Linked DNA regions of Oreochromis niloticus. The protein of the gene in region 1 purifies or fractionates together with the protein of each later gene. This does not show direct contact. Links are inferred from orthologs where the notes say so. Each region holds a gene or a part of one and is shown on either strand. Other genes may lie near its edges.

Region 1 (15,913 bases):
AAGTATATAATAAGTAGACATTTATAAAGGGCTGTCATTCCTGGCTGAGAAACTTAAGTATGGGTGATGTTGAGGTCTATCGAAGACTCTTTGTGCTTCTGTACGCAGATGATATTGTAGTATTAACAGAATCAGAACTACAGATGGCTTTAGATGGAGTAGAAAGATGTTGTGTAGACAGGAAAGTGTAAATCCTAATGAAAGTGAAATTGTAATTTTTGCATGAGGTAAAGTAGGACAGTTAAATTTGGATATCCTGTAATACAAGTAGAGGAGGATCTAAGGAGCTTGGAATGAAAAGCGACTGAACATCTTTAAGTGTCTTTGAAGATGTTTCACCTCTCATACAAGAAGCTTCTTCAGTTCTAAGACCAAAATGATGGAGACTCCCAGATTTTAAGCCCTAGAGGGGATTGCCCCGCAAGAGGGTCGTTGACCCACTATTGCTCATGTGGCTCATCACATGATCCAAGGTGTGAAAAAAAGGGTCTGGTTTGTTCTCAGCAGAGGCTTCGGGTGAAACCATTGTTAGACCTTGCCTCACCCTGTCATTTGACTTACTGAGATCAAGAAGAGGGTAGATTTAAGTCGATGAAGATGAAGTTAAATGTAGGATGATTGGTTTTAGGTTTAGATTACTAGCTGTTAAAATGAGATTATCCAATCCTGAGGGAAAATTGATAGAACTGATGTTTAACAATAGCATCTGAATAAATTACAGTATATTTAGGCAAGAGTTCAAACTGAAAAATTACTTGTATAGTTTATTCTATTTGGTGTTATTTAGCAAAGTAGAGATGTGGGTCTAGTGGCATTCGTGTACTTATGGACAAATTTTATGGAGTTGACTATAATAATTGCTTATACATACTTTGTACCTTGTTCTAATGAGACTGAATAATTTTTTTGTCCTTTTCAGGAGGCAGTGGCCCAACGGAGTGTTTGGCGGCAGCTCAGAGAGTGAGGTCCAGACGCTGCTCAACGTCTACTTCCGTCACCAAACGTTGGGCCAGACGGGCACAATCGCCCTGGTCGGTTCCCGGCAGGACCTCAGTCTGATCTGCTCCAAGCTGCTGGAGCTCAACGGGGAGATCCGCGACATGATCCGCCACGCCCAGGGTTACCGGGTCGTCACAACTTACCTCCCCGATTCAAGTGCCTCCGCGACCAGTCTCTGACAGGACTTCAGGAGCCCCCCACCCCCTCCTTCTCCACCTTTACCCCCTCCATCACTGCAGCCATTGACCCTTCCAAGACAACCTTCGCATCCCTCTCAGCCTGCTCTTACAGAGGGGGCCCAGCACCCACATACCTGGCCCCTGCCGCCTCCTATGTGTCTGCTGCCCCAGATTCACAGCTCCAGGCAGATGCCCACTTACTACCCTGCCCAGCACTAGAACCTGAAGTAAACCTTTCACTCCACTCTTCATCCTCATCCACTGCAAACTCTGAGACCTTTTTGCTTGATTTTCCCAAACCCCCCGACCTGTTCTCTGCAGATAGCTCCAACACGCCAGGCCAATCGCATTTTACACTGCCGCTCACACAAGAGCCAAAGAGACGTTATCTAGATGAGAACACGAGCCTTTATTATCCTATCAGAGTACATCCATCATGCAATTCACCGCAATCACATTTCCACTGCAGCAAACACCTGATATCATCTCTCACATCCAGCTCTCTCCCAACTGTGGCCTCAGCGCCCACCTTGCTCACACACTCTTACACGAACCCATCGCCCATTTCTTCCCGGGGCTCTCATCTTCCCCATTTCCCACGCTCTCCGTACAAACACTCGAGCCCGTCCTCGATTCTGCACCCGGGCCGTGACACGGTCTTAACTCACGGCCCTGCACCAAGTTCATCTCTTCCCCCTCCCCCACCACCCCTCCCTGTCCCACCGGCCCAGGAGAGGCTGCAGCATGGGGTTGTTGTTGCTCCTTCGGCGGTGCTGCTACGCCTTTGACTCGCTACCTGGGGAAGGTGGGACAAGCTGCCCTGCCCCTACTGACAGTAGGGGGGCTCCTGAATACTGAACCGTCAGACGTCCAAACCTGAGACTTTAAAGTTACCACGCCAGAGGACCTAACGAACCGAACATCAGATCTTTGCATCTGAAAAGTAGACAATGACATGCCAGAAATACCTGGACACTTTAAATGTTTAAGGACAGGGAATCATATCCCATGTATAATGGGATTTATCTCTGGATACTACAGATTGCTGCCTGCTGATAAGAATGACCTGATGTGATTATATACAAGCGCAGGCTTTGCTTCAAAAGCTAGATGTCGTGAAAAATAATGTACCTCCTTGTTTAAGTCCCGCTTGACGGTCATAATTCAGCATCTAATCTGTGCTGCACTCCGAGGACCTGTGAAGGCTTTTAGCTTGGACTTAAACTGGCTTCCCGGAGGAACTTTGAGACATGCTTGACACTTGCTGCCTCTTTCAGGAAAGATGAAAGAGACAGTGAGGAAATGAGCCATGACACTACGTAGCATCACTGGAAGAAGTTTCCTCTGTGGAGTTTTGTTTTCCTTTTTTTTCTTTTTCTAAATGTTGTAGAAAGGAGATCATGTATGTTTTGTTACTGTGAGAGAAAAAGGCTGTCACTTTTATTAAGAAGGAAAAGCCAAATGCTGGAGTGATTTTGTCTCTACTGTTCTGAGGCCTCCTCTGGAGGAAACTGTGCAATGCATGACCCAGTTGAATGCTTTCTACTGTAAGCTCCCGTCCTTTTCGCCTAGCCCAGACGTCTGACCTCAGACTGATTGAAAGACTTGCTGACAGAGCAGATGCAGAATATTCAAGTGCATTTCTTTACACTGCTCTTTGGCCTGTTTATATTCTGTATCAGTGAATCAAATTGTCCTCTGACTACTGTTGTAAACATTGGTAGAGTAATCATGCCATTATCCGTGCGTGGCGTGCACCCCTCCGTGGCTAGCTGTAGCATCTTTAGTGAGCGTAAACACTAGATTTCTGTCGACTTGGTGTTCACATGCAGAGAAGATGGCGCATGTACACAGTCAAGTATTTGCCCGTCTGTATACTGCTAATCGTTACTGTCACACAACCATAGTAGGATATGTTTGTGTGGTTTGTAGTTACCTTACACGTAAGGGAAATGCTGACATTCTGCACTCATTGTAGATGTGCGAAATGAAACCCACGCTACGCACTACTGAATCTGAACTCGTCGTCGTCAGCCTTTTTTTTTGTGTGTGTGTGAGAGACTCTCCCTTGGTTCGGATCTAGCAGTCGTTTTGCTGTTGCTGTACAAATGTCTTCTTTTCCTATTTATATCTGATCAGATATGAAACAACACTTATTTGACTTAGGTTTTATAGTGTTTGTTCTCTCAAATCAAACTGCCATGCATGCATTTTCTGTTTACTGTATGGAGTGTTTGAAATATTTATTAACAAGATAATTTTATCTGAAAGATACGTTTGTATGAGGTACAAAAGGGAGCCACAAGCTCACGCGGGTATGTTTGTTTTCTTTTTCCTGTGTGTGGGAGAATGTGTTTGCATGCCAAACAAGAAGTTGCACATTTTTAAAGCTTTTTAGATGAAGACAGTAGTTGTTTTTTCACCTTGTAAATATTTTCACAGCCTTTGTGAAGTTGTTTTGAGTTGAAGCTCTGTAAAAGTTGTCAAAGTAAAGACCTATAACTTGTGTTGTCTTTTGGTGCTTTATAAATGACTGAAAAACTAATTGTATTCAAGGTGCTCTGCCCTATCCCTACATCTGTCAATGTTCTCTACAGTCTTCCTCCTTCCTGGCAGCTCCATCTCTAACATCCCTCCTCTGCACATGTCCAAACCCTCTCAGCCTTGCTTCTCTAACCGTGTCTCCAAAATGCTCAACCTGAACAGTCCTTCGCATGTATTCATTTCTAACCCCCTCTCTCCTGATCTTAACAGCTTGAAGTCTGAACATCTTTAGCTCTGCCAGCCTTTAAACCATGCATCAGAGCAAGTCTCACTACTGTCCCTAAACATTTCATTTTACTCTTGCCATCTTTGTGTCACTAATAACCCGACACTCATCTTGCCTGACCCCAAGTATTTAAACCTGTCTCCCTCTCATTCACTCACATGTAGTCAGTCTTGCTTCTGATTTTCATTCCTTTTCTCTCCAGAGGATACCTCCACCTCTCCACTACAGATCGCAATGTCATCTGCAAACATCAGTCCACAGATACTCGTGCCCGACCTCTCAACTTTTCCATCACCACTGCAAACGAGAAGGGACTCTGATCCCTGATGAACCCCTCTGTCACTCCACACTTACCCTGCATGTCCCTCACATACTTCTGATACTTACTTCTCATGCAGCAGCACGGTTTCTCTTGGTGAGCCATCACATGCTTGCTCTAGATCTACAAAGTGCAACTGCTTCTGAGCATCAACACTCTCAAAGCAAACATCACATTTCTCATGCTCTCAGCATAAAGCCCAACTACTGCTTTTGATCATCAACTTTTTCCCAAGGATTTGTGCTACAACTGACAAAATGGAATTTTAAATGTTTTTATCAGCCAATTTTTTAAAGAAAGAAAATCACCATGGTTTCACTTTTCACTTAATCTGTACATCAGTTTCTGAACCACAAGATTGTGCTGGCTTGTTAAAAATAGAAGCTTGGAGTAATTCAGAAATTGTGCCATCAGTTTGTCTGGGAGAACATTGTTGTTTGTATTACTGCAGTAGAGTAACATTATACTCCGTCTACTGGGTATAATAGGCAAGCACCCCATCATTTCCATTTTCATTATGACTTCATAGTGTATGTATACATTCAGGAATCTCAACTTTTAAGGTGCAGTGTTTATTTCTTCATACAAAAATAGTTTTTATGTTAGATACCAGGATCAGTGAGGGGGAAAGAATTTTTAAAGTTGGCTCAAACCAAGGCAGCGATTCAGCTCTTTTGCTGGTTGGAGTGACTCTTTGTTACTGGAGGCGGTGGCAGCTTCTCTTTGTGGCACGACTTTACACGTCAGTCTTATTGGTGTAACCTCAGGCCTTCGCGGCGGGCAACTCAGACGATGTATTTGAAGCTGTAGGTGGCGTCACAGGACAGCTTCATTCCCTTGCAGCGACAGCACAGGTCCTGACGGTGAGGCTTCTTCATGTTAATGTGTCTCTGCTTCTTCTCACAGATGCAGCAAGTCTGAGAGCAACCCTGACAGAGGGGGGCATAAGAACAACATCAGCGTAAGAAAGAGCACAGGCTTTTCTCATCCCTACAGAAGGAATGCCTTACTGAGACTGAAAGTACCTTAGAAATGTGATCCAGTTTATTTAAATGCCCCACACAGAATCTGACTGACCCTGCGATTCCACTTAAAGTCCAAGTGATCAAATCATCTTGCGAGAGTTCCTCAAAAACAAGTTCACGTACCTTGCACAGGATAGATTCCACTCTGTAGGGGTTAAACCCCACTTGACACTTCCGGCAGAGCTGCTTGTAGTATACCTGCCAAAGCAGTCGCTCTGTATTAGCTCAGCAAGAATGCAGATATTTGTTTGTGCAAGCAGGTTGCCACTAACCTTACTGGTTCCAGAGATGCACCATACATAAGCACTCTCCCACCGGATGTTGCACTTTTTGCAGTGGAAAAACCCATACCTCTGCTCCAGGAACTGGAAAAAAATAAATAAATAAAATGTATACAAAATCTTTTTTCCCCTGTGGGCTCCACTGACTGAAAACATTCTGGTGATACTTTTATGGAGAATGTGAGGAAGTGCATAGATTTTAAACTTAACTATCATAAGTTTAGAATTTCCCAATAATAATGGCTCTACCCCCATTACCATTCATACTACAAAGTAGTTAATAAACAAGATAGTTTTTCAATTTAAAAACATTTATGTTTATCTTTTATAAATCCAGAACAGTCTGGGCAGTGAGTTATCAGAAATGTCTCTCATTTTATACATCTGTCATGTAGAGAAAGTGAGACGTAGTGTGAAAAACTGCATTTAAACTGCTTTTAAGTTTAAACTTCTTTACACTGACAGAAGGGAGTGTTTCATTGGTCCAACCCATTAAGATCAAAGTGGGCTTTATGTGGCCCACAAGGAGTTTGACATCCCTGCTTTAAGTGCTTTTTGTTTAATAAAACTAATTTTAAGACAATTAGTTTCTTATACTGCCCTTTATTTCTTTGTGTTTTTGAACCAGTTATGATCTTTTACACTTCTTAAATCTTAAATAAATCAAGTTTCGTTAGGTGTTTTTTAGTGTAGAAAAAGTACCGAGTTGAAATCAGAAGACATTTAAATGAGCCTACGGTGACATTTGCTAAATAAAAGAATCTATATTTCCGGATGGATAATAGGTTTAAAATGACAGTCATACTAATTAGGCTATAGGTTGAGGGCTTAAACCACAGATGACTGAGGGGTTTTCTGAGTTACATCGTGGATGGGAAAACTAAAGACTGCTCATTGCCATTTCCACACGCATCCACCTGAAAGTTGGCTCCCTTTGGAGACCGGTGGAAAGCTGTCTTGGAGGCTTCTGGGGCTTCCTCGCCACTTTGATCCCCGTCGGCCTCGGACGTGGCCTGCTCGGCGGCGGGTTCACCTTCTCCTTCACCAGCGCAATCTTCGAGTTTCTTTAGGAAGAGCCTGCGGTCAAACACCGGCGAATAGATGGACACGGGCCTCAGGAAGCGCAGGTTGCTCATTGGCGGCGTGTGGAACTGCGCCTTCCCCTCCGGTGTGGACGCATCGGGGCTCCTGGGGGGCTTGCAGGGAGTGGGGAGTTCGTCGCAGGACAGCGTTTTGGGGCCCAGAGAGCACTGGACAATTTTATCCACCTTGGCGTTCACTTGCACGCCGCACTCTTTGGTGTTCGCCTTCTTGAGCGGAGGGGGTAAACTCGGGTTGACCTGGGACAGGAGGGTCTTGTAGAGCTCCAGGTAGTTGAGGCCCTGGGGGTTCATGAAGCGACCATCTCTTTTGCCCCAGTTGCCGACCTGAGCCGGGGGCGCGCAGACAGCGTTACCATATACACTGTATGGTGGAAACGTGGACAGGAACCCCTCCATCCTGGAGCCATGAAACCAGTCCAACTCCGTCCTCGTGAGATTTTTAGCCTACGCTTACCTTCTCTCGGCATTGATTGGTTAATTGAGAACAGCGGTGTGCAGGCTCGAATATCGGTAGAGATACTGTGCCCTCTATTATTTATTAATAATAAGACTCTGTTGACTACAGCAAGAATGGCTGGCTATGCCTTTGAATGTGTAGTGATACATTTTGGGGGGCGATCTTTAAAAATTAAGTTAAATTAAAATTGTTTTTATCAAAAAACTGCAGAAAATCTCTGCTGAAACAAGACTGTGCAAAATCCACCTTTGCAGCAAGTGCACTGCTTTATTTGAACGATCCAAATCCGAAATGTTATATTGGAGCTCCCCCTATGGGCTGGTTCATGTTGGCCAGAGACCCATCGGAGAAAGACAAAGCAAGCAGGAGATTAATGAGGCATGCAGTTACACCTTTATTTATTTATTTATTTTTAGTTGGACGTTATGTGAACCAGCTTGGCAAGAAGGTTGTATAACTTCAGTAATATTGCTTTTTTAGTAAAGCCACTGAAGTCAGAAAATATATAATTTAAAAGCCAAACATGTGTTAGAAGTATTAAAAATGTGAATGAGTAGGTTAGCAGACAAAGGAAACTGAGAAATAAATACCCATGGGCATTGTCCCATAAATGTGATTTTTATTTTTAAAATGTCTGTATGAATAAATGACTTTATATGGTATATTCTAACAGTAGGGGCGCACTTAAAACGCCAGAAGCGCCATTCAGCAGCAACTATTTATATTTTTAATTCCAGTTTACACAGGATTAACGTTAATGCACCGTTACTGTCATATTTATGCGATCATTTTCACGCACAAACCCCTTTAGTTGAATCATGGTTTGGCGGTGAGTTCAGGCTCTGTCGGAATCTTGGGTATTCCGTTTGATGTGCAAAATAGACAACAATGCCTTAAAGAATAATGTCAAAACATTATCGTTTGGATATTTAAAACGGTATTTTTTAAACGGTGGGATTAAATGTAAACTCCGTATAAGAAGACTAATGTCTTATTTGGCAGGGTTCGTGTATTTTATAGGCCTGTGCTAAATAAAATCCGCTCTAAATTAATTCATTGTGTTTTTTTTAATGCAAATTACCTGCTTTTATCTTTACAGAGCGCTTCACGAGGACTGTTAAATATATTGCAGGAACTTTCTGTTATATGCGTTTGAATACTCGAAATCTTTTGGAAAATTTTTACAAACAAAAACTGAAAAAGACGCTCCGCGCGTCAAGTGAAGGGCTCAGCAGAAGTACCCGAACTTGTCCTATAGGTGGCGCTACGCACCCATCGATGGTTTTTACCCACGGGCACTGAATCTATACATATTGGCGCCATTTTGGAGCTAGGAGGGGGAAGAGAGCTGCAGAGGAGGACACGATTTATCACAATTCACCGTAACAGGTAAGAAAATGCACAAAGAAGCGAATCGTTTTGATTGAAAAGCAGCGATATTTTCGGACGTCGTTGCCACAGAGTCGGTGTGATCCGGGATGTAACCGCGGAGCTCCCGGGTTTCCAGCGCTAAAAAAGGCGGAGCAGAGCCCGCCTCGCTCGCCTGTGTTCTCGGCAGCCTTGTCCGATTCACAGCGCTGGTTGACCTGGTCCTGCGGCGGAACAAAAAAATGGTTAGCTAGTAAAATAGTAGTCTGCTGACTGGGCTCCCCGCAGCACGAACAGACAGTGGGGGTCGGCTTGGTTGTGTGAGCGGGCTCGGGATATTGATATGAATATAACGGTAGTTAGCCGGTGTGTTTTGTTCGGTGCAGCGTTACTCTCAGTCCGCCCTCTGTCACTGAGATTGCTCTGCTGCTAACGCTAGCTCGGCACGCTAGTCGCTAGCGTGGATACTAGCGAGCTAACAGCAGCTAGATGGATTAGCCACAGTCATCATAACAGCAATAAGGCAGCCTGGCCTGAACACGCTGCTGTACCAATAACAATACCCTCTATTCACGAACAGTTTCCTGACTGTGTAATAACTCACCCACGTGAAATCGGCCTCGAGAATAAATTATTAGCCCAACTCTGGTCGTAGTATTTTCGTTGTGACGATTGCGGGCTTTTAGTGCAAGGCGCATTCCTTTTTTTTTTTTTCCTTTAATTGCAGAGACCTGATCCTGTAGCGGTAATTGTGTATTTAAGGCTTCTCGAGATTTTAAAGACTTTTACTTAACGAGTTTGCGCAACAATGAAAACATGAACACAAATAGAAGCTTTGGAGGTGAAAAAGTAGCGTGTGATCAGATAGGACATTAATTTTGCAGCCAAGTCGCTTGCAGAGAGCTATAGGGCATCTGATGTGACAGCTATCAGTCTATATATGTATATGAAAAATATAATCTTTGTATATGTTTTTAATTTTATTATTGCTATTGTTTTTAAATCGCTTCATCATCAGCATTGCGTTTTGGTGAGCGGATTAAAGATTGTAAGAAGTCTAAATATGCCATGTAACGCTGGGTTAGATATTTGTTTCATTTGGATTTCTCTCCATGTACACACACACACACACACACACACACACACAGACACAAAATAAATAAATAAAAAAATCCTCTTAAAAATAACACAATTTAAAATCCCAAATTGGATTTTAATGTATTCATTCTTGGTGCGAATTGCAAATAAAATAATGCTTCAGGCAAAACTAATTTATCAGGAGCCACTTTGCACTTCTTCAAGAGATAATTTGGCCCTATTTAAAAAATCAAATGCAGGCTGTGCTCCTTTAAGCATTCACTGAATTGTAAACTGAGCTGAATTATGTTTAGTCAAGCTCTTCCTCTTCAAAACCAAGATTTTCAGTTTGTTTCTCTTTGATGGTTGCCTTGTGGTGAATGGATACAGAGGAGTAATGATGTGTGTGCTGCCTAATGCCCATAGAGATGTGATTCAGCCTTCACTTGTCCATTTCATTTCATCTGAGGAAAAGCTCAACTCTGACAGCGTTTCCCTTCTTCAGCCAGTTTCCATCGCTTTGTTTTTGTGAGAGCGCCCGCGCGGAGGTCGACAAGTTCGCTCTTAAAGCTGGCCGGTGTCCGGTTCCCTCTCTGTTTGCTGACATTCACACTCATCCCTGTGATCACCCATATGAGAGGGGGGTTAAAATCAAGGATGTCTCTGTCAGAGTTCGAATTAGGTTCGAAGAAAGGAAAGTTCTCACATTTCTGCTGGCAGCTGCCTTTAAAAGGCAGAAGTGGGAAGAGCATAAGCAACTAATGGGGGGTAGGAAAGGCTCTCGGTGGGGGGATAAATGTGTTTTGACTGTGATAAACCAGTAATAAGCTGAAAGTAGTTCATGTTCAGGAGGTTGTGTATGGGACAGCTTGCCCCTTTGTGATTATTTAGTGCTGGTTCCATGGTGGATGGTACCCACGCAGCCTCCCTAGGTTGAGAAATAATCTGCTGTGATTGGCTGCCAGAGCTCAACTGTGTATCAGTGTGGCAGAATGAGAGAGGGATGGACTCAAATTTGGCAGCAGCTGTGGGTGGAAAAGAAGGTCAGAATCAAACAATTTGGCAGCTTGCCAATGTCCCGTGTGTGTGTCTGTGTGTGTTTTTGTAAAAGCTCAGCTACAGAAAATTGTTTGGTTGTGATTCATAACTAGGTTTTGGAGTCTGGTCTCTAAATCAAGCGCTTTTGTCAGACGGCAGACCCACTGACCGGGACCGCTTCATAAATCAGTTTTTCTTTCGGGGTTAAAAGTAGCTGAAATTGAAGGAACAAGCGGCTCAGTCGTGAGAGAAGAAAATCATCTGTTCATTTTTCAGTGCTTCTTATAGCTGCATATGTGCAGTGTTGTTGTTTTTTAATTGTATTTGTTATGTAGTTGTATTAAATAAAACAATTACATCATTTTTTTTCTTAACGCTCAAAAGGAGATAATATTACAGCCAAGTAAAACAAAAAACATTTGACCAAATTTCATGCTGCCTGGTCTGAACTGTGGATCAGGCAGCCTAACATATGCCTATCAGGGAAGTTGAAGTGAGCAGATGGATGAGGATGATCTCAGTTTGGCATTTTGTGCACTTTCCTAAGGAATCGTACAGATTTCCCCACTAAAAGGTACTTATCTGTTATGGTAAATGGACTGGTTCTTCTATAGCGCTTTTCTTTCTACTTGAGCACTTAAAGTACTTTATACAACTTTCCTCATTCACCCATTCACACTCATTTATATGAGCACTTTTTTTTTTTTACTGAGCTTAAGTGCTTTCTGTCTAACACTTTCACACATTTACACTCCAATGAACGCATGAGAGAGCAACTTGGGGTTCAGTAGCTTGCCCAAGGATACTTTGGCACGCAGGCTGGAGCAGCCAGGGATCAAATCACCAAACTTCCAATTATATTGAAATGTTATATTTTGAAAGCTCCAAGTAGGATACTGGGGTTTGTGAGTTGAGTTTTTATTTTTGAGCAGATGTGATGCCTTTTTACAGAGAGATATTGTAGAGGTATTAATAGATATTATTGTAGGGTCTTTACCTTACAATTTAAAGTACCTGTTGTTGTAATTTGTTGCTATAAATTGAATTGAATAGAGGGTATGCACACATAACCACAGGATTGCAGAAACTAAGATTGGGATATGATTCCTTTTTCCAGAATACCCAACCGTAGCCTGGGTTTCTGCAGTCATATAGCAGTTTGTCACATGATGTCATGCACATTGCTTGAGAGCCGTCTGTCATATTGGCGCTTGGTGAGTAATTCCTGGATGTTGCTGGCGGTCATTGGGTGAAGTTGGTTACAAAGAAGAGATTTTTGCTGCACCAAAAATCTCTGCAAATGTGCTAGCCGAGCAGTAGTAAACTTGGAAAAAGTGTGACGAGAACGGCATTTGCCTTCAGAGTAAAACTTGTTTCAGCACGGCAGTCAGCAAGTTTTTAAAAGGCCCGGTTTTTACTTTGAAGGCAAACTGTCTCAGTTTTGGCAGTTTTCACATTATCACTGCTACTGGAGGAGTAGCTGGTGAATGTTTGCAGACAAGCTGGCGTGTTCTGTGCAAACTACGAGTGACAGCAGCAATCAGCTAGGAACCAAAGCAGCAAGGTGGTTTTCACCAGTTGTGGAATACTCAATTTTTCTTTCCTTCATGATCAGTGGTTGCCAGGTGGTTGCAGACTGGTCTCTAGGCTTGCGTGACCTGACATTACACGTCCAAATTGCCAGTCAAGTTATCGGCATGTGACTGCATATCCTGAATTGAAAGCACAGTGATTTGCTACCCTAAGGTGAACTCACAGTGGGTTTGAAGTGTGTCTCATGTGTCTTTGGCTGGTGTCCATATCTGTCTGTCTATGGACAGATTTTGTCAATAGGATAGCATCATAGTGTGGAAGTGACAGTGAGCAAAGTGAAGGCCAAAATTATTGGTGTGGTCTGAGTACTCATTAAATCAGGTAACATTTTAACGACTACTAAGTGCACATGGGTTTTTTGCTATGTTAACGTATCCTGACTACACCAGAGGCCTTTGCTATGAAGCAAGATTTGGACTTATCCAAGCACCGTCAGGGTTTGACCCTGTGTTTTTAGTGTGATTAGGTGATTAAGAGTCTTATTGTTAGTGGGGTGCATTGCAATGGTAAGTTATGCTGGAGATCTAACCTGCTTACCTGTTGTTTGACTTATTAAGTTAATGACTACTTTTGTGTGACTGCTTAAGGGCTCATTATGGTCGCTGCAGTGGTCATTGTGCACACAAGAAGTGACATCATCATTTATACCGCCAGTGAGGGCACACTGGGCTGGCTGCAGTATTCTCCTAAATGGTAGAGGTGTCACCACTCAGAGAAAACCTCCACATCAGTGTTACTACTGGAGTACAAAAGTCTTTTGGGTTTTTTTTCTTTCCAACATCTCCCTTGGTATAATCTGGAAATCTTTTGCTCTGATGAATCATTAACATGGTTCTTAAAAACTGACAATCATACACTCATTCCTTCAGTCTGGTGATGCCACAGATGCAAGGTTGCAAAAAACTGAAAGCCCCATGACATGCATGAGGGCTGCTTGCTCCATGGCATGTGACGTTTCGGTGATGCTCTCAGATATTTTTGACCAGCATGCTTTGGCCTGCCTGAAGAGGTTGTACATCTGCATAGTAGTGCGGTGTGATGCCCTAACTGCTCCAAAGTATGGAACTCCAAAGCTTCCTCAGGGACAGCTGCCTTGCCAGTTTGACAAATCTATAAACCATGTGAGAGGACGGTCTGTCATCACATTCAAAAGTGCCCCATTATACCTGAAAATGCAGAAAATCATGAATGTCATTGTCTAGGACTGAAAGCGACAGTGGCTTTGTGTGAGGAGTTTAGGTGCCAAGACAAACTGAAGCGTACCCAGATCATTAAGCACAGTGTGAGTGCATGCCAGCAGGCAAGTCGGAAAGGGGCAGATATTTGGGCATGACACAAAGTAATCACATCCCCAAGTAGGGAGCTAAATTTCATTATGAGATGTGGGAAAGTCTGAGAAAATTAACAAACAGACTCCTCCACAGAGACTCAGTACACAACAGCGAACAGCTAACACCTCTGCTGGTTATCATAGCCGCTACTAAAGTCGCAGAGAAATATCAAGCTAGAACATCTAACCTGTGTGTGTTAACACTGATGCTTTTGCGGTGTGGTTTTTGTATATGACTCACAAAGGTAATCATTATCACTCGCTCTGAAACTTGATTGCATTATTTAAACAGCCATCTGATCTGATTTCATTACTGATGTATGACTGACTATGTGCAAGTTTGATTTTTATTCATTTTATTTTAAATAACTAAAATTATGAGGAAATAACGAGATGTATATAAATTATAATTGTATATAAAAGATGGCCTACCAGAGTTACATAGAGTGAAAGGAAGCGTCTTCAGATTGCTTGTTTGTTGTTGAGAAACCCAATATGACTCTTTGAATACTGGCTCCTTTAGTCAATGTTTCTTTGGACAGCATAGCAAATTATAAATTGCTTCCTATTACATGTGATGCAACAATTTACCATCTTGCTATCCTGAGGGGACTTTATGTTCTGATGGTTCTCTGGAAATTGAATTGAATTGGGAAAAGTAAACGACTGCAAAATGAGTCTGTGCACTCACGATCTTCGGCTAAGTACCTACATTCACATTAATCTGCTTCATCTATTAAATATTTTTACATGTCTGCGTTGTTAGCTGTTTTTGTGAAGTTATGTTAACGGCTAGAAAACTGACATGAAAATAGACCAAGACGTGAGTCTGGAGAAAATTACTGTTTTGGTTAATAGCAGCATTTCTGAGCTGTAACCGAGGAACGCTGCCATGTCTTGGATTCTAGTTTCTAATATCAGGGTTTTGATATATTTAAACCAAGCAGCTCACTGGGCCTAAACATTGTGCAAAAGCTACAAGAGCTGCAGACATTTTGTTAGTTAATGTCAGCCTGCTGTTCCCTTTAAGCCAAAACATGTTTTTAAAAAACAGCCTGCAAAGATTATAAAGAACAAGGCAGATGTTATGACTTATTACCCTTATTACCACTAATTAGGGTTGGCTAAATCATGCCAATGTACTCTCATATCTACACTTTTTTTTCTATAGCTATTAGTGTTGTAGTGGAGGGTAGAACAACAAGAACTGAGTGTCATGAAGTGCCCAGAGGGGAGCACTGCAAAGCTAAATTAATGAGTCAGCGAGGTATGTCGAGCTTAAAGTTTGAGTTCTCAGCATTACAGATGACTCGCTTTTTGCCTAGCTAGAAAAACCTGGCCCAAAGCAGGTTACGTTAAGAGTTGAAATAATCTGGAGTACCATTTTTAAGTAATTGTGTCACAGGCTTCTGACTTTATTAGACAGTGCAGTGAAGATGAGGCAGAAAAGGGGCAGCGAGGGCCATCAGGTCGGTGTTAAGCCCAGGCTGCTGTATGCTGTATAGCCTTGCACTATGCGGTCACCTGCTCAACCTGTGAGCTAAAATCTTAAATGCCATTCACTGTTAAACAACATTTTAGATATGCAAACTGTTGGGCCATGTCGCACTAATGCTGCAGAGGTTATGTCACAAGTGATCAAAATGCACCTCTTATTCACAGCGGTGTACATGCATTCAGTTGGTTGTTCGTGATCCTAAAGAGCTGTCAAGTCTGTTTCTAAACTGCTGTAATGCCCACAAATGAGAAAATTAATCAGTTCATTTGAATCACCAAGAATATTCAGTCTGTAAAATTAATTTTACTTTGATCTGACTAAAAACTAATTTGATTTCAATCTTCTCTGTTATTAGACTGTGGTACCGTGTCAGAACTGAATGCACTGATGTTTAAATGCTTTCATTTTAAAGCCTGAGAGCACTCAGAGTGCACCGAGTGGGGGGGGAAAAATACAGATCTCTGCTTAAAAGATTAACTATTTTCTGCAGCTTTGCTCTCTTTCTATATATGCCACTGTTGACTTCTGCAGTAACATTTTTTTCGTAGATCTCTATCACATGTTCCTCTGATAATGTCTCTGACTGAAGTAGGCTGCACTCAGTTAATCCATTTTGTGCAGAAGAAGAGTTAAATTATGCCTCTTTTTGTCTGACCGTACACGGAGCCTGAAGCAGAAATCCCGGGTTAACAAAGAAAGCCGATAACTGCTGCTGTGATACCTGTTATCTCTGACTGGGATTTTGTTAAGCCAGCTAACACAAAGAAAGCCTAGCTATGTCAAAATGATTTCATAGTGCACCCCTCAGCTCATTCAAGCTCTTGGTATAGTCATAAACTGTACGCCAGGCTTTAGTTTGTCTGACAATTCAGGCTT
Region 2 (16,122 bases), on another chromosome or scaffold:
AGACAAATTTTAAATTTTCTAGACAATATTTACAGTGTGAATGGCACCAAGGAAAAAAAAACATCAATGACCTGAGGTTGGGATTATTTTACAGTTAAGTAGCATTTTATATAAAGAACCTCTGGGGGAAAAAAAGGTTCAAATTGTCTGTAAATAAAGATTCTTTATAGGCGTGACAACATTTAACTTAAAAAAATAAAGATGGAAGTATAATTTTGGCTTTAAAAATTACAGAAAGCAATGTTGCCCACCCTGCCACGAATTTGCTCTTTCTATGACATTAAAACATGTTGCAGGAACTTTCATTATCGTCCGCAGGGAAAATTAGGTCAGCTAAATATTTTAAGTGAGGACCAACTCTGAGAAACTTTACCAAAATACTATCTGGATACATAATCATCCAGCTGATCACCTTTAATTCCACTCAATAGGGATATTCAGGGTTCACACCTATTTTTCAGGGTCAAATTCAAGCACCTTTTAAGCACTTTCAAGGTCCATTTTCAAGCTTTTCTAGATTGCCAAAAAAAAGAATGCATGTTTCACTCGTTTCACTAAGTAAGACCATATAAAGATTAAAACAAATCATCTTAGGTCGACTTAAAAGAAAAATGCACCACACAAAACTACTGAAAAAGGAAACGGTTGCCTTATGTGCAAATAGTGTACAAACTCAAAACACACATTTCTCTTAAAAATTAAGATGTGCAAATGTGAACAAATCAACTTGTTAGAGATATTCATCTCCACTTGAAAAAAACAACAACCCCACAAAACAAGAAAACTGCACCAAACACCACAATAACACACAGCAAGGTCTTCTCATCAGTGATTGACGCTTCTTTCCTATGTGACACAAAAATAGGAGACAGATGTTTTTTTTTTTTTTACTAGTTAAGCACCCACGCCCAGAAAAATGGGGGCAAAAGGGCGGAGATCAAGTTTAATCGGTTAAAACACGAGGTCAGAAATATAAGTGCCGACATGAGTACTGTCACAGCAGTACTCAGTACGAAGCATATTTTCAAAGGTGTTATATGCTATTAAAAACTTTTTAAAAAATTAGGCAGCCTGAAAGTATGAAATATTCATATATTAAAACACTTAAATTTGTCTGTTGTCTCAGTGGCTGATAGTTTATAATTTTTAAGTTGTTTAATGTGTAGGTGTTCACGATAAACAGATTTTGAATGAAAGCCGGGAACTTCAGTAGCACAAAAAAGTGGCTATTCTTTTTTGTTCTCTTATTAGTCTATCTCATTACCATTATTTCCTTAAGCCTTAAATTGGCTAGTTAAGTATCAGATTAACGTTTAAAGCTTTCACTTGAATGAAGTAACTCACATTACTGCTACTACTAAGTAATGTTAGCTAAGTTTACAGCATATTCCAGAAACCACCATGCCATAACTAACTATTATAATAGCCCTGCCATACTGCATCACACTCAGTGCATTTCAATCATTTCTCCAGCAAGTCTGATAGCTAGCAAAATAATAATAATAATAGTTTTAAAAATTAGCACATACTCAAAAATTATTTACTAGGACTCATCTGTCATGTGACTCAAGAGTGCAAATTCCACCAGTGTCGTTTTCCATCAAACAGTCATTAAAACAGCAACCTCCAGTTAGTGCACTCATCCCCGACTGTTCGGGGGAGGGGCGGGGTCACACATTGAAACAGACTGACATGCAGAGGTGCAAGGCGGCCCAGGCGGAGAAATTTTACCTTTACACATTGCGACTCATTTTATTTCTCTATCTGATAAGTTAACTATTCGGTTACTACAGTTTCAAGCACGTTTAAGCACCACATCTGAAATTCAAGCACTTTTCAAACCTTAAAAAGACAGTATTAAAGTTTTCAAGGATTTCAAGCACCCGTAAGAACCCTGGATATTATTCTCCAGAGCAGAGCAGAGATTTAAAATCAGAACTCCAGCAACACAGTAGCTCATCTATTTCAGGACCCATCACAATTCACAGGTCATTGCCCATAAACCTAAAAACGCGACCCATGAGAATTCTTTGGAAAGTCTCCATAGAACAACAAACAATCATGTTTTACCATTTCACTCAAATTAAATAACATTTTAATCAAATTCAAACCAATAATGTAGGTAAAGTAGTTCATCTACTGAACTACGTCTGAGTCGATGGATGTATGGATGGACAAACAACGCTTTGTGCTTCTACAATTTCCATTCCATAAGTTTTACAAGACTGACAATTTAGCTCACAAGGTACACCCATCAAGGACATAATTTTATAATGAATTGTTCAAAGCTCTCAGGTGGAGTCATTACTTTTATATACTTACTTCAAGGTAATCAAGAGGAAGGAAGGTCTCCGGCTCTCCTCTCTGCTCCTTTATGTACTGAATACAGTCTCTGCCAGTCTTCTCTGAGTCAACAATGATGGCGTCCATGTTCTTACCCAACACTTTAGTCACAGCGATTTGATATTTCTTCTGAGTGGGCTGACACAGGTCGATCAGACGACCATACTGAAAACACATTCAGTAAACTGAGGTTTGTTCAGTGCTCTTATGCTCAATGTTTAAATGCTTTTACCAAAAAGGAAAGAAAAGCAGACCCAGCATGGGTATAGTGCCAAAGGTGCCTTACCACAGAGCCAGGATAGAGTCTTTTTATACTCTCCATGATCTCGGCCTTACGTTGCTGGCGACTGTTCTCCTGCCTGTCGATTCTGGCGTCTCCAAGCTGCTCCATCACCTAAACCACAGTCCAATAATAACGGGATTCATCAGAGGTGCTACTATAGGTGATGTAAGAAATTTATAGAATCCAGTATTACCCAAACATGGATTAATGACCCACAAAGCAATCATTTATTTAATCAGTGCTTTATTTAATCAAGTCTACTGATTGATACAAAGAAATGATGCTTTGTCTTGTACAGTTCAGGAAAATATGAGCTATAGAAAAAGCCTGATGTCTTTAGGAGCAGAGTTAGCACATGCAAAAATAAACTAACCCAATTAGAGTAGATTCAAATTGTTGTTGGCGCTGATTTCTTTCTTTCCTGTGTATTGAGTACCTGATTAAGCTCCATATTGATCTCATCAATCCTCCTTTTGGCCATCTCCACTTCCTCAGTCAGCTCTTCCTCCATACGCTTCTGCTCATCTAGTGATTGCCTGATGGGGAAAAGAGAAAAAAAGGGTGTGAATCACACAGTAAACCAGAGAAACCTATAAAATTAATAAGTTTACCACAGCTCTGTTCAAAACAATCCAAAATTAAGAGCAGCATACCTGCTGGTGGCAATATAATCCTCCAGTTTTTCAATACGTTTCTGGTTTTCCTCAATTTCACGGATCTTCTGTTTAATTTTGGCCTAAAGAGAAACAACAACTTCTATCAAATCAATTTTGTTCTGGCTCATAAAACTTTTCCATCATTTTCCATTTTTCTCTCCTTTACCTCTGTCTCCACTTTCTTTCTCTCCTCTAAGTCCAGGCGGTCCTGGTCAGCCTTCTGGTCGCGGTTGAACTTCTCCAGCTCCTGTGCCAGCGTGGCAGCACGTTTGCTGGCCTCCTCCTTCAGACGATGATACTGCTTCACCTGGAAGAAGCGAGACACAGAGTGTGCATGTTTCAATTTCATGAAACATTATAATTTTACTAAAATCCTGTAACTAATTTGGTATTTTTTCAAAATAAATCATGCAAGTCTAAAATGTAGTTTTCACACATCAGACCTGATTTTCCTCCAAGGTGAGATCCTGGCCTTGGCTCTGCGCCTCCTCCTCCATTCTTTCCTCAAACTCTTGCTTAGCCAGCTCCACTGCCCTCATCTCTTTGTCCAGCTCATCCATGTCTGCCTTCCGCTTCTTGTACATCTTCTGGGCATTTTGCAGTGATTTTCTTGCTGCCTCAAGCTTCTTGATTTTGTGTGAGGTGTTCTCTTTGGCTTTGATGTACTGAGGCCTCTTTTGGTTCAACTCAGAGTCCTTCTCCCTGTAGTCAAGTCAACCGTTTAATGTAAGTCAAATGACTAATAGTGCATTAAGCTTTAAATGTCAAAACTTATTTTATTTAATGCCACTTACTTAATTTCTTTCTCAATGGTCTGTTGCTCCCTCATCAGCCTGCCCAGCTCCTTCTTCTTGTCCTTCAGCTCCTCCTCCACATGGTCCATCTTTTTACGGTCCTTATCGATCTCTTTGTTCCGCTGCCCAAGCTCTTTGTTCAGCCTCTCGATCTCAGTCTCATTGTGGTAAAGTTTGAAGAGCTGCAACTGTACACTAGCTCTGGCTACTTCATCCTTAAGACGCTGGTAACGCTCAGCCTGGTAAAATGAACGAAAATAGAGAAGAGAGCAAATTATGATTAGAGATGTAACAGATTCAATTTTCCATCAGATAACACAAAAAACTAATCACGAAAATTCAAAAGTTTGTTTTAAGGCTATTTTTGAGTCATTTCAAATAAGAAACGCACAGATTTGCTGCCGATTACAGTGTAACAATCTTTACTTCATCTTTGTGTTGTTCACCTAACACCAAATTTTATCTCTTATATAAATATATATGTGGGAAAGATTTATATGCAGGATGTGCAGTTGAAACTGTTACATTGCTGAAAGCTTATGTTGAGCTTTGATAAAAGTTCCTAGTTTGTCTTTTACTGTTGAAGTTTGGTGCATTCATATGAATGACAAGTATTTGCATTATCTGGAATTATATATTACCTAAAATCTGTTAGAGTAGAAACAGGCTATACCACTCAATGAATCCTGTATGGAGGAATTCAGTAAATGCAAATAACCATAGACACTAATGATGACACTCTGGGTCCTATGCAGACTCAGTAAAAATGGCAAACCTCTTCTTTCTCTTGCTTAGCCTCTTTGCGCTCTGCAGCGATGTTTTTCTTGCGATGATAGTTGAACTGCGTGTCCTCCTCTGCTTTCACCATCTCCTTCTTCCTCCGGTCATACTCCTGGGCCAGCTCTCCTGAACGGGAGATCTCTTCAAACAGCGCTGTACGCTCTTTGGGGTTCTTCATGGCAATAGACTCAACAGCTCCCTTAAAGGGAAATAAAGACAAAACTGAATTTTAAAATAGCAAATAAAATGTTACCTGGTGTTAATTTGATCTCTGGTCTAACTGGCCAAGTCACGTTCAAACCAATGATATACACACACACGCACACACACTAAAAACTTTACTACTGCACTATCCAATCAAAATAACCTAGTGGATTAGTACAGGAGTACTATGAAAGACTGCCTGTGCATAAATTGCTTTTGAAAAGATCTTGACAACATTTACAAGAATTAAATCTTACCTGAAAGACCAAGAAGTTCCTAGCCTTTATCAGAATTCCAAGTTTTTCCAGTTCTTCGCTGTATTCAGGCAGGCCCACTACTTTACTGTTGATGCGATACTCAGAGGAAGAACCTGGTGCATATTCCAAAAACAAAACAAGCATTAGCTCATCATCAACACACACAAATAATATACTATACTATTAAACTATATTATTTTATATACTACAGTAAAAAAGTGCATTTTATTTACAATTTATAAATGTAACAGATTTTAAATATTTTTTAAACGCCAAATGCCAAAGATGTGTAAAAATGTTTTCTTAGATGATGAGTCAATTTTTGAAAACTGATATCCATGCAGCTTTACTACTATCCTTTTATTCAGCTGAAAAGCATTCAAATATTACTAGATCAGTGTCTCTTAATTCACACAGACAACTATTCAAAAAGAAAGTTAATTTTATATTCAAGGACAGTTGGTAATGGAGCTTCGTACCAATAATGACTCTTGTGAAGGCACGTTCTTCTCCATTATCTTCCTGGTACACCATACTGACAAAGGCTCTGTTGGCAGCTGGCTTCCCTACAGGCGCTCCATGGATTAGATCCTTCAGAGTCTTCACACGCAGGTTACTTGTCTTCTCTGCCAACACGAAGCTGATGGCATCCATAAGGTTGGACTTTCCTACAAACATTGTGATGAATCTTAGTAAACTTTGGGACCTTTTTATATTAAAAGGCATATGTTAAGACCATGTTGCTGCCATCTACACATTCAGTCTCATACTGATGCACTGCACTGCAATATACATGGACTTGCAGTTATGTGTATAGGTTTTTAATGATTCATTTATACCTTAATATTTGTACACAAAGATCTGCAATGACATTTATACTTTAAGAACCCTTGAAAGCCTCATGCTTTTATACATAAACAGCAACAACTATATATAGGCTTTAATATCCCTTATGTAAATCATACTTTGTTACCTAATATTATTTTGTACATTGTATCTCAGATTCTTATAGTTTTATTTATTTGTTTTATTTAATGTTACATAATTAAATTATATATTTTTTAATTCTTTCTAGTTGCACACTGTGGGATGGGGAAACAACGATTAGATCCTATGCATGTCCTGTAAATATTACAGTAAGGTTCACTTTTTATTTGTAAAGTCTGGTACCAAACAGCAGTTCTGCAATAAAATCCATCTCATTGGCTATTAGTGTGCAGTTTTTACACGTTGTTTTGTTTGAGTTGATATGGCTAAACTTACAGGCCAGATAGTTTTGATGATGCATTGCACTGTATTACGAGAAAAGACCGTTGAAAGTCTTTCTCTTGTGTAATGGGTCCAACACCAATGTTTACAAATATATTACGTGCCTATACGACATAAGTGCTTAAACGGTCTAATGGAGTGACTTCAATAAAAATGCAAAAACGACATTCTACAAACTGACAACCATAAATACACCGAAATAAAGTTTAAATAAATTCTATAGTGCCAAATGTAAACATGAAACACTACGATACATCACATCACCAACAGTTGAACCTCTGTCCAGTTCAGCTGTGCACAGACTGAGAGTTATGATCCAAATAGAGCGGGGCTGTGGAGCTCTGTTTACCGTTAGGCACAGCTAGCAGTTTGCATTTCGCATTAGCTTCGAGCTTATGTTAGCTGTCATTACATACCAGATCCATTGGGTCCGATGATTGCAGTAAACTTGTGAAAAGGTCCGATAATCTGCCTTCCTTTATACGACTTGAAATTTTCGATCTCTATCAGTTTTAAATAACCCATCTCGTTCTATTTGTTTAGCTGGTCTGCAGTGAATATTAGCTTAGCAGTTAGCTAATGCTAACAACCAATGTTTACCCGGTAAGCTGTTGCAAAGACGCAGTGTGCACGAAATGAATGAACCCCTCTGGTCAATCTACTGCTGCTCTATGCACAAGTTACATTATGATCTGCGCAATCGTTTTAAAAATTAAAATAAAAATTATAATCTTTATCAAATATATTCGGTACGGCGGCGACAACAATGCGCCATTTTACAATCCAACAGGAAGACCCACAAGCGCGCGAGACACGAAACCTCACAGTTTCTCGCGAGACCAAATTTAGTTGTCTGGCGTTTGTCGTGTTTTGATTGTTATCTCGGCCTTGGATATCACTTTTTACTACTATTAATGCTACTTTATTACAAATTATACACATTATTAAAAAAATAAAAAGACATTTCCTTAGCTGGTCCTGTCACTCTCGTTATGTATTTCCAGCATATCGATGTGTGTCCACATGTTTCCATGGTTACCAAGCGTCTCCAAACACAACAGGAGCAGATTTTCATTCACTGATATTGACTGAAAGAAACTGAGCAGATTTATAACGTCAGCGGTAAGTGGTGTATGTCCATTTTTAAGGAAAAGCCATTTAATTTAGTCCACTTATTCTTTAAATATGCCTTTAAAGAAGCATTGGTTTTTGATGTTATCAGGTGATGACAGGAGCAAATCGCTCTGAAGATGAACCCCACCAGGATTTTATATTTCAATCGGCATAGTCATTTCTTTAATAATTTATTTTCAGGCAAGATTATCAGCTCTGATAATAAGTGTCGTAATGCTGTCTCTTTAGGAAGTCACTACAAACTTTGAACATGTACAAAGTGGATTTGCCTGTAGACGAGTCCACGGAAAAGGCTGTGGAGAGGCGTAAGGCTGCAGAAACAGCACGCAAGGCCCGCATTTTCAACACCCGGCTTCGTGTGATGGGTCTCGACCTAGATACACTAAACCAACAAGTCCAGGAGAAGAAACACCAGCAAAACATGGAGAAACAAAGGGACAAAGCTTTGGGTAAACTGAAGGACAGGGATGAGGTAGAATTAAAGCAGTATAATTGCAGACATAATTCCTGCAAGACGCTATAAATGCAAGTCCCCTGGTCCCCTTATTGTTTCAGGCCCTCTCCATTAATGAGCTTTGGTTGGTCACAGGTGTATTTTTAATGTATTACAGATAAGTTGAGAATATGCCAAGATGAAGTACTGGTGCAGCAGAACAATGCTGAAAAGGAGAAGCGAAGAGTTTTGAATTCTGAACTCACCAATTACTGGGCTACTCATCAGCGAGCAGAGGACTCTCGTGATGCTGATCTTAAATTTGACCTGAAGGGGGCATTCAAGATCGCCATTCCAGAGGATGAGCTAGGGCCTGCCAGTATGCAAATCTTTAAGGTAGGGCAGCTCTGACAAAGCAGGTGATTTGTATGCTTTAAAGACCGGGGGGGGGGCTCCAGCTAATGGTTAAATATGTAATATTGTTACCGCTTATGGTCATCTGTCCTTGTTTCATGCACAGGGAGAGGGTGTCGGAGAGGAGCTGAGGATGAGAGAACAAATAAGAAAGACAGAACGAGATCTGCGAGCACAGATGGATGAGAATGAAAAAAGGCACATGCGAGACAAGCACATAGGTGAAAAGAGACACACACACACAAGTACACACATTCACTAGCATTCCTAATGAGCTTACATCCTTTACTCTACAACCTCTGTACATCACACACATGCTTCATGCTTTCCTGCACAAACAATCATACACTCCCATGCACAGCCCTTATTACCAGGTGACAGTGATGGATGCTCATCCCTAAGAGCCTTACTGTAAGTGTGAAGTGTGCAGTTGAAGAGCCACATACAACCGCTAATGCAGGTGTGAAAAACACACATCAGATGATCCCCAAATCATGTGTGTCACAGAGATGCTTGTGAGCAAAGAGCTGGTGCAACAAGATGTGAGAGGGGCTCAGCAAGCTGCCCTCGAGGAGGTGTGTAAGAGAGCTACCCGCATCGCGCTCGACAACTACAATCAGGCTCTGGTACAGTATATGTGCACACTCACAGATGGACAAACAGATATGCACACACCACTCACTAATGTGAATCCTCAAGGCAAAAATCTAAGGGGGGGGGGCAAGCTGTGACATGATGTTGTCATGTGGGAATTGCAAGCTGAAAATGTCAAATGATGCATGCACACACTTGGTGCAGGATGGCGGCAATCATATTATTTGGCACCAGGCAACATGGATGGTTAAACAGCTTTGATGTATGCGTGGTTACTGTCTGTTTTTAAAAGCCCCCATTTAGCTCTTCCCTCATTTGCCTGAATGCACTCGGCTGAATCCCCCATTGGGAGGCATCATTGTAAATTCTTCAGGTCACTGTACTTTTTCATAGTGTTTAGTGGTTTCACTAATAACCACTCATGATGCACAAGCAAATACAGCTGACTGAGTGGCTCTCTCAGGACGACGTTCGCCATATGGCTGACTGGTAGCTCTATGCTAGGAGTAACCACATTTTAGAGACTGGGTTTTGCAATGCTTCTGAATCATCAGTCATCAGTGGGATAATCAATTAACTGTCCCTGGATCTGTGTTAAAGCCTCACCATGCTCTGTACACACAGGCTAAAGAGCAAGCAGAGAAACTGAAGGAGCAACACAAGAGAGAGGAACAGGAAAATCTGGCAGAGATGTGGCATACAATGACATCTGACATGATGACAGAGTGTGCAGAGGCAACAGAGAGACAGGTGGGAGGAGGGAGGCCACCACAGGTTCTACCAGACAGGTGGAAAGGAATGAGCCCTGAACAGCTGAAAAGCATTCAGCAGGAGAGAGAACAACAATGCCTTGAGAGACAGGTATTACACTCTGTACTCCACAGTAATATAGTCAAAGCTGCACACAGTATCCCACATATGGTATGTAGAATACCATGTGCACACAATCCCTTGAGTACTTGTGTGTTTTGTTAATGCGACTTCAGAGGTGGCCAGCGGGGGAATTGGGCGGGGCAAGTACTTGTGCTTTGGCACTGTGGGACAGAAAAACTCTTGTTGAACCTTAGACAGAACCAGGCTCAGGGGCAGGCAGCCATCTGCCGCGACCATTTTGGGATGAAGGGAAAGAGTTTTTGACATCTGTGCCAACTTTTCTACATGGGTTGTTTTCAAAAAGGGTTGTAAACTTTTCAGCTTTGAGGAGATTACTCATTCACAAAGAGAATGATCCTAGACTTGAAAAAAAAAAATTAGATGGAAATGTGAAAACTACAAAGTCTGTAATCACAAGTAAAAACAACCAAAAAAGCAACAGTGCAATATTAATAGTAAAAATATACATTTATATGAGATCTATACCTTCAGTCCATAAAATAAAAGAAATATATCAAGATAATTAAAACTAATGACAGATGAGTATAAATGATCATTTAAAACCAGTGAAATAAGTAGAATTAAAAGCACAAAGTTCATAAAACAAAAAGAAATAACTAAACTAAAAATACTTTAAAAAATATATTAAAATACTAATATCAGTCATTATTAAAGCAGAGTTAAGGGAGCCACCTGCTGAAAACACTCTTGACGGGTAGGTCATGAAGGGGATGTTGTGTGTCGTCCAGTATGTTTAGCAGTTTGTGCAACATCCTGCTCTTAATAACTACCTCTAGGGGCTTCAGGCTAGTCCCCAGCACAGACTCAGCCTTTAATCAGCTTGTTCAGCTTTCCAGTGTCACTGGCTCTGATGCTGCTACCCCAAAACAAACCTACAAAGAAGATTGCACTAGCAGTAACAGACAGTAGTGTTTTACTGAATTCATTAAATGACCCAGAAAGCCTCAGTGTTGCATTTCCAGTCTAGTCTATTATTGATGTGAATACCCAGGTTTTTGTAGCTCTTCTCCCACAGTGGAAAAGGTGTTCAACTTAGGTTTGTCCCTCCTTTTTGTTTTGTTTTAAACACTGCAAATGTTGGAGTACTCCTGGTGTGATTCAGAAGGTTGTTTCAGCAGCGAATCAGAAAAGATAAAAGCCACATCACCAGTATTGGTTAAGACTCGGTAAATAATCCATGAGGTCTGCAGGTAGCTTACTAGCTTGTCAGATAGATATTGAGGTCGCAAACATTGCGTCACCGTAAAAAAGCACTAACATCTAAAAATCAATTCTAAAACTAATTGGAAGCCATTGAAGTAACAGGAGCACTACTAGTGTCCATCAAGCCAGCGGTGCTCAAACCAGCATCCAGGCACTGAAAGTAGGTTTGAGCAAGTAATAAAAGGTCTTATTTTAGTGTGCTGGAGATATTAAAAAAATATACCATCATATATCAGTTTTCTCCTTATTCAGGATGATGGTATCTTCTTAGTCTTTCTAGTGTACTAAAATAAGGCCCTAAACTTCCTGTTAGTGCCTGGACCTGGATTAACAGGATCAACATTGATTTCAAGATGCAATAGTGGCGAGAATAAGCATAAACATAAAGTGCTAACACAGAAAAAAAACATTTGAGTGGATCCAGTTACCAAGCCATAAGACCTCCAGCAGATTATTTGGCTCTGAAGCTTTGCATTTTTCAGTGTTATCTACAGGCATGTTAAAGTCACCCAAAATCAGCATGAAATCAAAATCTGAGGAAGTCTGGGAACCTAAATCATTAAATAATGAAGCAGAATTGCCTTTAGGAGAACAAGTATAGTGCGTTTTTAGATTTATTTCCTCTCTGCCTTCAGAAACAGCAAGATGCTGAAAAGATTCGGGATGCAGCTTGGGACCTGAAGCTGCTGAAGCTGTCCAGAGAAGCCGAGAAGGAGGATCTGACAGCAGCCGAGCTGAGTAGAGAGCGGAGAATTCAGATGGACCGCTACAACATGCAGCTGGCCCGAGAACAGCTGGCACAGTAAGCACTGCGCACATATTCATGCACTCTCTGATTAGACACTAGTCAGCAAATGTGTTTTAGGCTTAGGTGATAAAGTATGGAAATATAGATTTCAGATTTTATAAACATTTTGGGGAACAAGCTACTTACTGTGTTTAAATTTCTGTTTCTGCCCCAGGCAAGAGTACCTGAATAAGAGACTGTACACCAACAAACCCACCAAGGACTACTTTTATCAATTCAACACCAGCTCCCGCTGACTGCCAGTGACCTGACATTAGCTTGTCCTCCTGTGGCATTGGGCTAAATAAACTTGGTTAATCAATGAATCAGTGTGAACTGGATCAACATTAATCATAACTTAAGTGACAGACATTTCCTTCAGATTAACACGGTTATTTCTGATTAGTGACAAAAAATGGGAGCCTCTTTTGGTACAGATTGTTCCACGTACTTTATTTTTCAGTCATATATCCAGTTACAGCAGTAGCTTCATAATGCAGTTACAATATTGGCCCCAAAAGTGGTACAAGACCCACAGCTCCAGTCATCCACCCATGACAAATATAGGCATCGTCATGTTGTGCTAATACTGCACCCCACACTCTGCGAAGTGGCATATCATCCCCAGCAGCGGCGCACACCCCCTGGCCTCCCTTGCCCCTTCTGTTTCATCTACTTCCACTTAAATGTCCTAGAGAAGCTTCTCTACACAAACGAATTCATTTTCAGTCGATTTTTCTTCTTTAGCTATATAAAAAAAGAAAAAACAACCACAGTGAGAAAGCAAAGGCCAGCATCCCCAGGTTTCCTCTACAAAACATGAAAAGCAAAGAGTGAGCGGCAGTCGAGTGAGTATCTGTGTGTGTACACTCATTCCTCATTCAGAGCTAACATTTGCCTCCAAACACTGACACACAGTTGTTTAGCAGCAGATAGTTGAGTTAGAATATTGGCATATCTTGCGTCATTCATCGCTCCTGTATGAAAATAGATTTTTTTTAAAAGCTTTATTTGTCCTGAGTGTGTCTGTTTAACCAACAACAGGGAGCTTACACAAACCTCCTTCAGTGCCACTAGCCTCTTTAGACATCTCATATTCTACCTCGGAGACTACAGTTGATGTTTGGCCAGTGGCGAGCTTTTGTTTGAGAAGGGAGAGTGTTGCGTTTAAGTGTTCCCTGTGGCTCACTGCATTTCTGCCCCGCACAACTTCATCAGACAAAAACTCCACAGATATTCACTGCACTGCATTGCTGGATGATTAAGGGCATGAGCGCAATCCTAGCTTAAATTGTAATGTAACTACTTTCACTAAGTGACACTAAATTGATTTTTTTTTTTTCCGTTTTCAAATTTCGATATGTTTGCAAAAACATCTACATAACAATGTGATTTTTTTTTTTCCTTTTTTTTTTTTTCTCCTTTATTCAACTATGGAGTATGTTTTTGCTACACCCAAATCTCACTGTGATCGTTTGTCGATAACAGAAAAGTCTGAATTCATAGCAATAGTACAGAGAAGGAAAAAAACTACAATTTGCAACATTTTAAAATTAAGTGAAGTGGCTTTAAACCTGCACATTTTTCACATTTTCATATCAAACATGGTTCTGTAGGGGTTGTATTTACATTCAGAGGGAAAACAAATGGTCCCGGCTCTTCCTGTGACTTTACTCTCCTTTGACCTTTTTAGCTCAGATTATTTTCAGAAGCAAGTAAATACAGTGTCTGCCTAACCCTGAAAGGAATACATTCTCTGTTTGATATAAACAACTATTTTTTAACTTTTATCATATATCAAATGGCAGCCTTTACAACTGTCAACAATATCAGCTTGCATTGAGGAAGGTTTGAAAATAAAACTTGAGAGAGTGTTTGCGCACTAGACGCCACCCTCTTATCTGAAATATACATAAATACTGCGCCTCAGTTTGTTTAGTATGAGATGAGCAGGTATGAAAGGTTGTTAATTAGAGACAATGTTTTAATACAGCGTAGAAAGAGACAAAGACAGCGATACAGAAAACTACACATAGGTCTCGACACACAAAAAAATTACAACATTGTTTTCAAAAATGACATTACACTTCTGGTGGGAAGGCGAGAGAGTAATGACATCAATCTGGTGCTTTATGCAGACCCAGCAGGCACAGGAACTTATAAGGATCTATAATACTGTAATATGGCTAAATAGATAAGTGTAGATGCAGCTATATACACCAGATGCTACTCAGCATTTTCACAGCAAGTTCCACTTAATGCGTCCAAATAGTAAGAAACTTGGCTTCACTTGATTTTGCTGAAAACATGTTAATCTATGAAATGTGTCGTAGCTTTTTATATAAATAGTGTAGAAAACAATATGAAAAATGATTACGTAACAAAAAATGACACAACAACAACAACAGCAACAAAAAAAAATGATGTTTGGTATTCAAACACGCTTGTAAAACCAAAAAAATGTCACTGGCAAGTACAATCGGAGACATTAAATGGCAATTAGACATACAAAATCATGTGGGAAGTACATCAAACATGATTCATATCTAAGATTCAAGATTTTTTTCTGTACAGCAGCATTAGCTGTCTTGTTCCCTACACTGGGTTCTACCATCATCCTTTACTTTTAATGCACTACTCTGCATCTTTACCTACACCCCCTGATATTTCTAACTGTACAACATTCTGTCTTTATGCTTCTGCGCTGTTGTTTGCTGAGAGAACGAAAGAGGAGGGAGAGAAATGAATGTTAGTCTTTTTCATTAGTTGTAAACTGCACAGGAAAATGAAGGGAGGTCAAAGGACATGTTCATGTCAGTCAGGCTTATATCACTATCGCTGTCCACTACTTTGGACACTCCTTTGGTCAATATAGTCTAGTCAATCAGATGGCTGCCAGGGACATCTGAATATGATTGTTTATTAGTCGTCGAAGTACAGATCAGCAAGTCAGTAGGGAACAGGAGCATATGGGCACATACGTGTTGACATATTTTGGTCTGATGGTCCCCGGTGGATGTGTGGGGGTTAATCGAGGATGGTGACTGAGTTGGGCACGCCATTGGTGGCGGGAGAGAAGGTAGTGGGGTTCAGCGGGGCGTTCTCTGGCAGGAAACCTTCTGGACCGCCACTGGGACGACTGATCTGGCTAGCCAGAGACTCATCCATGTTGAGCTCTGTGGTCATGGCACTGCTGCCATTGAAGTCGAGGTTGTCTTCGCTGTACAGCTTGCTCTTCTCACACAGGGACGGCTGGCTGGCTGTTTGCTTTTCCTCAAGATCACTGCAGCATGAAGAACAGAAGAGGTCAAAAGTAAGAAATGTTAACACGATACATACGAAAAATGCAATGCTGCATGCCAAAGGTTGAATATTATGTACTAATATTTTAAGTAATTTTTTTAAAATAGTGAGTTCCCAGTTATAAATCGTGACTATTTGCTTTTCAGAGTCTCACATTACATTGAGGTGAATGTTATAGGATTTTGGACTGTTGATTGAACATAATGCAATCACCATATGAATCAGTAAACAAATATATTACATTAAAATTAGTCTGAATGTTTATGGGAAGGCAGAAGGTAAATGAGGCATCGGCAGAGGTAAAAATTAAGTGGGTTAAGGATATTAAATCATATCGCAGCATACCTTTCTAGAGATCTGCATAAGAGGGGCAGGCATTAGGGAGGAGAGTGACAATGAAAGGAACAGAGAGGGTTAGGAAAACCAAGCAGTGCTGAGGGAATCAGGGCTGTGTTAGAAATCAATGTGCAGAAACATAACAAAGCATTCAAGAAACAGCGTACATTCAGGTGACACACCTGTACTCTCCGAAAGTTTCATCCTTCATGGGCCGAGCTTCCGAGTCCATCGGGCCCTCCTCTTTATCTTTCACTGAGAATGTGACAGATTTCATTATCAGGCAAATTTTAATCTTGTTTCTATCTTGTTTCTATCTAAAGTCTCAAATCTCAACAGTGAAGTTTTATTAAAAAGCAAGATAACATCAAGGATGATTAGGTGGAGCAAAAAAGCTGGATTATCTGTAGATATTATCAGTTTATCTGTATTATAGTT

Evidence for each region.
Region 2: the proteins of pds5b (region 1) and structural maintenance of chromosomes protein 1A purify together in Homo sapiens (affinity purification with western blotting; 8 studies listed by BioGRID and IntAct, with this or other methods). This does not show direct contact. The link is inferred for Oreochromis niloticus from reciprocal best matches to the Homo sapiens genes PDS5B and SMC1A.

The regions. Positions count from the first base shown.
Region 1 is NC_031975.2:16,183,985-16,199,897, reverse strand, and holds the start of pds5b (sister chromatid cohesion protein PDS5 homolog B), read left to right. Parts: upstream 1-8,376; 5' UTR 8,377-8,522; intron 8,523-15,913. Other genes in the region: fryb (protein furry homolog), read left to right, coding at 920-1,178; zar1l (protein ZAR1-like), read right to left, coding at 5,053-5,196, 5,416-5,490, 5,565-5,657, 6,491-7,072. UniProt on the Homo sapiens protein: Regulator of sister chromatid cohesion in mitosis which may stabilize cohesin complex association with chromatin. May couple sister chromatid cohesion during mitosis to DNA replication.
Region 2 is NC_031984.2:20,056,753-20,072,874, forward strand, and holds the start of structural maintenance of chromosomes protein 1A, read right to left. Parts: upstream 7,382-16,122; 5' UTR 7,112-7,381; coding exon 7,003-7,111; intron 5,986-7,002; coding exon 5,797-5,985; intron 5,431-5,796; coding exon 5,318-5,430; intron 5,056-5,317; coding exon 4,852-5,055; intron 4,316-4,851; coding exon 4,077-4,315; intron 3,985-4,076; coding exon 3,726-3,984; intron 3,590-3,725; coding exon 3,449-3,589; intron 3,363-3,448; coding exon 3,280-3,362; intron 3,163-3,279; coding exon 3,063-3,162; intron 2,738-3,062; coding exon 2,630-2,737; intron 2,509-2,629; coding exon 2,323-2,508; intron 1-2,322. Other genes in the region: ribc1 (RIB43A-like with coiled-coils protein 1), read left to right, coding at 7,971-8,169, 8,332-8,549, 8,674-8,788, 9,075-9,193, 9,786-10,022, 11,894-12,060, 12,221-12,302; l1cama (neural cell adhesion molecule L1.2), read right to left, coding at 15,073-15,328, 15,694-15,705, 15,867-15,939. UniProt on the Homo sapiens protein: Involved in chromosome cohesion during cell cycle and in DNA repair. Central component of cohesin complex. The cohesin complex is required for the cohesion of sister chromatids after DNA replication.